2 linked regions of the Canis lupus familiaris genome follow. The protein of the gene in region 2 interacts with the protein of the main gene of each other region in a biochemical or structural test. Links are inferred from orthologs where the notes say so. Each region holds a gene or a part of one and is shown on either strand. Other genes may lie near its edges.

What was found.
Region 1: the proteins of CD6 (region 2) and ALCAM form a complex in vitro, tested with the Homo sapiens proteins (4 studies listed by BioGRID and IntAct). The link is inferred for Canis lupus familiaris from reciprocal best matches to the Homo sapiens genes CD6 and ALCAM.

The regions. Positions count from the first base shown.
Region 1 is NC_049254.1:11,674,519-11,678,336, reverse strand, and holds part of ALCAM (CD166 antigen precursor), read right to left. Parts: intron 3,704-3,818; coding exon 3,665-3,703; intron 3,372-3,664; coding exon 3,254-3,371; intron 1-3,253. UniProt on the Homo sapiens protein: Cell adhesion molecule that mediates both heterotypic cell-cell contacts via its interaction with CD6, as well as homotypic cell-cell contacts. Promotes T-cell activation and proliferation via its interactions with CD6.
Region 2 is NC_049239.1:55,906,686-55,910,503, forward strand, and holds part of CD6 (T-cell differentiation antigen CD6), read right to left. Parts: intron 2,895-3,818; coding exon 2,772-2,894; intron 1,096-2,771; coding exon 976-1,095; intron 750-975; coding exon 495-749; intron 226-494; coding exon 121-225; intron 1-120.

The sequences.
Region 1 (3,818 bases), on a different chromosome or scaffold from region 2:
GTCCTCATTCTTTAATGTTCTCCTATCTATTTTTTTTTATTTTTTATTTTTTATTTTTATTTTTTTTTCTCCTATCTATTAAATAACTAGACATGAAGTAGGCTTAGTCAATTAATGCTTTTTGCCTAGAACTGTGAGTAAATACCCTACATACACAGGAAATGATCAGTCATTCATTTTCATTAACAAAAAACAGCCGATTTAGAGAAACAGCTTCCAGTGAGAATTTATATGATTCAAAGCAGCAGAGGAATCCTGAGTCCTAACTCTCCAATGAATATACCAGAACACAATGCCAAGTACAACTACTAAGCATTTCTTGCTGTAGCTCTCCACATTTGAAATAGATATAAAAATATGTAGCTCACACTAATGGAATGGGTTATGAATATTTGCTAAGTATCACTAGGACTGTTACAAATGTACTCTTTAAGTTCTCCTTGGGCATAAAAGATTATTTCTCTCCTCTCTCTCCACTGACTTTTTAAAATGCCAATGCAGAGAACTTCCCCTGAATGTTGTTTAAAACTCCCCTGCTCTGTGAGTTGTATCACTGAGGTTTTTAGATAAAATGTTTAGCTCATACCTTTTGTTCAAAGTGTTTGTCATAATGGTGACTCACGAGATCGTTAATGGTATTATTTTTCAAGATGGTAAACAAAGGGGTATATATCTAGGGAAAAGCTCTATATCTTTATTAAAAAATGTCTTCTACTCATGTAAAATGGTGATGAAAGAGCTAAAGATAGTAATGAAATCCTCGTATTGATTCATAAAGGTGAAGTTATTATGTAGAAAAGAAGAAAAAGAACATACTAGACCGCAAAATGGCCTTAGCAATTCTTAACTTGAAAGCTCTTACTACAAAAGTGCACTTACTCTGGACACAGGGATTAACAACAACTCATATTGCAAAAATGCTGGCTTATCTCAGAGGGCACTAGCAAGGAGTGACCTATCAGGAAGGCAGAAAACATGGCAAATCTTAAGAGTTTCACAAATTTTTCATAAAAGCACTTTGATGCTTAGGATGAGAATTCTAATTTATTACCTTGATATTATAAATAATATTAACTCTGGCAAAATTGATATGCTTTTCAATTAAATAACAATTATTTCGACAAATGGTCAAGGCAGATGGTAAAATCCGTGCTTAATTTAATGAGGTACTTTAATGGAAATCCATGAAGTCTTAACCCTTAACCTAAAGACACCATGAAGCCAAGTGTCCAGCATTTATTTATCCATGATTTTAATTTTGGGTCATCATGTGATAATAACCAATGAAGAAACAACAAAATCCCACACACATAATTTCCTTTTTTATACAGAGAAGGATAAATGGGGTCTAATGTGATCTTGGCCATTAGAATAGGATGATTAAGAATGTTGAGGATGTTCCAAAAATTTAATGCTTATTTGGCCATAATGTAGAGAACTGCTGTTTATTTTTCAGCTCAATTCCAGGATACAGAGAAATTTCATTTTTTTATTCTTTTAAGAAATAAAACTATATTGGAATGCATCAGAAATCCTAAGTAAATAAGATGGAAATACCCCAGAGCCCAAGATGTTAATTTGTGAGTACTGTAGAGCAGATTATAAGGAGAGAATAAGATTTTGACCAGCAAGAAACTTATACACATAGAAGGAGAATTTTAATAAGATACTGCCTCTGGGCAACTGTTTGCATTTCCTTTCATGCACATGGTACAGGCAATCTTCTAAAGTTTCCACAGGAACCATGGACACAAACCCACATGAAGTGTTGGTAGGTAAAAAGGTCACTGCAAAAAGGAACACATTTGTCACCAAGTGACGGTGGGGGCCGCTCAAGATTGAGTAGTGAGGTGTCAAGATCAGAAGTGACTGTGCCCCGATGTGAGAGTGGACAAATTCATCAACTACAACACATATTAGGAAGACGTTTCTGCCTTGCATGACCGAAAAACAGAGAAAAAGGAAGGCATGGTGAGAGAAAATAAGAACTAGTGATTAAGCACAAAGATGCTGAAACAGCACTGCCTGAAATCAAATACAACTTTGGCCCCTATGAACTGTGTAACCTCAAGCAAGTCATTTAACCATCCTCTGCCTTAATTCTTTCAAATGTAGAATATGAGTAATAACGGTATCTACTTCAGAGATGATGGCAGGATCAAAACAGAACTCAATGCAAGCTCATACTATGTGACCTTAAAAATTTCTGAGCTATTGCCTCCCTTTGATGGCAGCTCCTTTTGAATATTACTTTCTTCACTAAAACGGCTTTCTTTACAAGGTAGGATCATGGGTCTTATTCAGGCTGCTTTTCCTTTTGATTTTCTTTTAAGTTAACCTACCTGAGTTGCTGAAAGGGGGTGATACCGGACATCAAGAAAATATAAAATTAAGCCCAGAGTTGCCACTAGCTATATCCATCCCCTTGCAAAAATCAATTTCCTCATGTTTGAAACCAATGGTATACCACAGAATCACTAACAAAACTTTAAAAATGCAAATGCTAGGTGCCCACTCAAATCTGCAGTCAAGGCTGGGGTGATGAGGAATATTAAAAATGTGTGTATGTTAAGAATCTCCTTTGGTTAATTAGATTTTCATTATAAACCACTATTAGATATTATAAAGTTGGATCTATCTGTATTATTTATGACTAATAATTTTTAATCTAAACACCATCTAAATAATTTTTAAAGCAGTCTTCGTACTTTGTCTAATTATTTCCTTTTTGAATTGCAGAAAAAAGAACGAGGGTTATTTTCCCCTCTGAATAAAATCCTTTTATGGACTAAAGTGACTTAACGAGAACAGAGAAGTGACAAGATAATACCACCTCGCCAACTGTTTCACTGCTGGCCAGACCTGTTACTGCAGGCACCCGGCCACTCCCACAGGATTTACTAACCACTTTTAATTAATGTCCACCAACCTTAGTCACATGGCTTAGAATGGTTGACCTTTTGGAAGTATAAGCTTTTTAAAATGTCCCCCTAGGCACCGAAAAAAAAAAAAAAGAAATCAAATAATTGAATTTAGACTACTGACTGAGAAAAATAAGGGGACACATGTGAAATCACACCCCAAGGCAATTCTCCAATGCTGGCAAGGCAGTCACTGTGAGCTGCAAGCAGAACATGATGATCACCCTGATTTGAGGGCCACGCCTTTCCTCTTACAGAACAGTGACAAACTGTTTTAATAATTCTCCCAGGGGAAGTCAGTGAACAAATGAGGTCTTCTTTCCATAACTTACTTTGATTTCTTCATGTACAGCCAGTAGACAACACCAGCAACTAGGGCAGCCAGGAGGAGACCAACGACGATCCCCACGATCAGTTTTGCCTGGTCATTCACCTTTTCTCTGTTTTCATCTACAACAGAGAAGAGAAGTCCGGGCAATTACAGACACTGTCAAGGATTTCTGAAAAGAAAGTCAATCTGGTTATTTTTTCTTATTAAAAATAATTAAGGCTTACGACTACTATAAGTAACATGCAAACTTGTGCTTTGAAAAGATAAAATTTTTAGCATTTTTACTATCTTGTCTCATTTGCTCTTTTAATTCAAGTCAAAATTGTGACAGCTAAGACGTTACTTATACAATGACACTTCATAAATCTTGAGCTGATAGTCAAGGAAGAAGAGTCGGCAGCGTAGTACCTACCACTTATCTCGTCTGCCTCATCGTGCTCTGGAATACTTACTGAAATGAAAAATGTTAATATGAAATTAAAAACAAAATTTGTTGATATATGAAAGTCACCTTTACCATTATAGTATGATGTAATAAGACTCAAAGATGAAATATCTATTCTTTA
Region 2 (3,818 bases):
ACAAATCTTTACTTTTCTTCTTGGGCTAATGAATCCAAAGGGTGTGGAGTTCCCCCTCTCATCCGCCCCCTGCTCCCTGTCTGTTCCTCCTCCCAGGACCACCTCCCTTGCCACTGGTACCTGGACACTCAAACTGCTCCGTTGAGGGGGGCTGGGGCGGCGGCTGGAAGTTCTGGTACCACTCCCCGGATGAAGTGCTGGAGCTGTCATCAGCCAAGGGCCCTGCTGGAAACCCCGAGAACCAATCACTCTGCCTGGAGACAGCCAGCTCGAGAGCTGCCAGAGCTGGGAAGCCCTCATGACTCACAAGACTCCAGTTCCTGGCTTGACCATGAATGAGGAGGTGAGGGCCCGGAGAGGGGTGGAGACTTGTGCTGGGGCTAGAATCCTGAGCTCAGCCTGGCTCAGGGCTTCCAGCTTTATGCTTCCTCCAGCCAGGTCAGCTATAGGATGGGAACTGGGGCACACACGGGATCCTCCTGGGCCCAGCTCACCTGAAAAAGTAGCTTGGGAGCCAGCCAGCTCCAGGTTCGGGGGCTGCTCCAGGTGGGGGCTCCTCTCTGCAGAAAACACCTGGGGGGTCCACGGAGGTAGCCTGCTGCTGGGGCTATTGCAGTAATCCTCCCCAGAGGATGTGCTGGATTCACTGCTGCTCCTTGGGCGGTGTTGAGAGCCCAGGGAGGGGGTGTTTGCCATGTAGTGTCCAGCACCAATGGGTGGGACCTGGGACACGTTCATCTCTTCAAGTCCTGGCCCAGGAAAGGGAGAATGGTGAGGAAAGAAGCAGCAATGCAGCAAGAGGGCTTCAAATTAGACCCAAGAAAGAACTAATGGCCAAGCGGAATGTTAAAATCAGAAAGGAGCTATCGAGGGGGGCTGCTGTTGGCATTTCTCAAGGTGAGCTGAGTTGCTAGGTCCGGAGTCAAGGTTGACATCGTTATCACTGCCTCCGTGCACCTCCCCAGCCTGACTCACCTTCCTCCGGGGGGAGCATCTGGAACTGGTTCTGCTGGACCTCCTCAGCTTCTTCCAGGAGGGGCATCTGGAACCGGTTCTGCTGGACCTCCTCGTCTGTGATGCGGTGCCGCTGGGAATCTACAAGCAGAGTGGTGGTGAGGGGGGGTGAAGACCTACCTCCTCGCCCCCGGAGCCTACAGGAAGGGCTGCAGTGCCTTGGCACTTCCAGGGGTGCCCTGGGGCTGAATAGTGTGGAAGGACAAGCCCAGAAGTACAGAGGGGTTAGCACTTCCGTCAGCTCCCGGGCTCTTATCCGAGTCCAGCCAGTCCTGAATCTCAGTCTTTAACCAGCACGGGATGAGGTTGCTTCTGCCCAAAACCCTAGTGCCTTGTGCCTTGCCCCAGATACCCCTCCTTCTGCTTAAGGAAACAGGGAGAGTCCTGGGCTGTCTCCTTGTGCCCTGGGGGCTGTGGGCAGGAAGAGGGCAGACGGTGCCCCAGCCAGGGCAGAGTGGAAGCCCGGAGGTCTGGAATCCCTGCCTCCTAGGCTCTGGGGAACTTTTGCTCGAGAACTGGAGACGTGATATGGATCTGTTGAATCTTAAGGACTTGAGAACCTGGGACCTTGGAGTCTGCGCTCTCAAACCTGGTATATAGAACGTCACTCGCAGTGTCATGGGATTTTAGACTCTCGATCTAGCATCTTGCATGCCTGAGAGCAGAACCTCAGGTTCCAAGGATGCCTCACCCTGGTGGCTCCCAAATGCTGGTGCATGGCAAGGCAGAAGCACAGTCAGCCACCTCCTTCCGCAGAGGCCCTGGTCCAGCAGGTGAGGCACAGACGACCAGCGTCCCTACTAATCTCTATTCTCCACCCCGCTAAGGGCAGACCCTCTGGCCTTCATCTGGACACACAGCTGCCCAGGATAGAAGCTTCGTCTGTGGCCTCTCCTGCAGCTGGGGAGTTAGACTGTGGTGGGCAAGGCTGAGCGTGGCAGTGAGGGGGCATCCTTGGTGCCCTGCCTGTCAGTGCTGAGCCCGCCTCGTCTTCCCTCCCCCTGCTGCTGTCCAGGAGGTGGAAATGGCAGTGAGCCGTTCTGGACCATGTTGATGAGCGCAACATCTTAGGGACTACACAGCAGCAAGAGAGAGGAAGGCTGGTCCCTGCCAACTTCTCAGGATGCCATTGTTTGGGGGCGCCGGTGACACACAAACTCTCATCCTAACTCATAGGGTGGGTCCCGGAGGGAAGCTGGGGGATGTTTGATGAGCTCCCAAGGGAGTCCCCCATAGGTGTGGGATTCTTTGCTCTAATGTCCAGCATTGCCTGGGCCCTGCCTTAAGCACTGTCTATCCTCCTCCAGTCCCCAGCAGGCAGGGAGGAGAGCTGGAAAAGTCAGCTGGGGGTTTAAACTGGGCTCCCCAGCAAGGTGGGGGAAGGGGTGAGGTTGATGGGCAGGAGGGGGCACAGAAGGGGCGTGAGCCTGTGAGAAGCCGTCTGAACGTGTCTCTTGCCTGGACTTCCTTGCTTCACACAGACAAGGCCACCCTGGAGGTGAGTGTCAAGGGACAAGTCCTAAGACCCTGTGTGGCCGGACAAAGGCAGGAGGGAAGGAGGTCGAAGACACAGAGGGGCCTCTAGAGTCACGAAACACCTGGAGAGCTTCAGCGTAGGGCCACTTTGAGTCAAGGGACACTCCACGGACAGCATGCAGGGTGACCTGGTGGGCCCCGCGGAGCTCCCCAGCCAACGGGATCCTCTCCCTGGTTGGGGGTGGGGTGGGGCTCCCAGGAGCCCGGGCCCGGGCACTCACTGTAAAAGGTGGTCAGGGCCACGGGAGGCTGGGTGCTGAAGTCATAGTGCTCATAGTCTGAGTCCGAGCTGGAGTCCGGGTCCTTGGGGGGTGGGGCCTGCGCCTGGATGGGCAGCATGGGAACTGGGGAGAGAGCAGAGTCGGGCAGGGCCAAGTGGCAGGCGGAGAGGTGCAGGGAGCGGCAGGAGCGCGCAGCCGGCGGGGCCCAGACACACGGGCAGGGACAGCGCCAGGTCTCCCAGGTCGCCCGCCTCGTACCAGACTGTCCAGCCTGGGTTTGCCAAGCTCCCCCCGCCCATTGGCTTATTTCCTTTGCTTACTTCCAAAACATAGAGCAATTGCTACAGGCCGGGCGGGACACTTAAAACATGATCTTATTCGGATCATCGTAAGGACTCGGTGAGGTGGGTACGTCGGCGTCCCCACGTTACAGCTGAAGAAACTAAGGCACGGGGAGGTCCTCACTGGGCCCAGAGAAGCAGCCAGTGTGACTCTTAACCCTCAGACTACGAGAGTCAGTGAGCAAATGCTCTGTGCTTCACCTGTGTGCCAGGTTCTGCGTTCATGTTCTTTCCTTAAACACATGGAGGCCTCGCACAGGGAGTATTTCTACCATTCAGCTGGGTTTGGTATTGGTTTTCTTGTCCTCGAATGCTTTCAAATAAAGGTGATTTAGTACAGTCACAGCGCAGTGTGACTAAGCCTGAGTTCCCTAAGAGACTTTCACGAAGTATAAATCCGTATGTTATAAAAGATGGATGACCGATCCAATTTTTCTTTCGTTTAGAAAATATCAAATAGGGATCCCTGGGTGGTGCAGCGGTTTAGCGCCTGCCTTTGGCCCAGGGCGCGATCCTGGAGACCCGGGATCGAATCCCACGTCGGGCTCCCGGTGCTTGGAGCCTGCTTCTCCCTCTGCCTGTGTCTCTGCCTCTCTCTCTCTCTCTCTCTCTCTCTGTGTGTGACTATCATAAATAAATAAAAATTTAAAAAAAACATTTAATATCAAATAAAATGATGTTCCAGGAAAATCTTGATGGGGCCGTG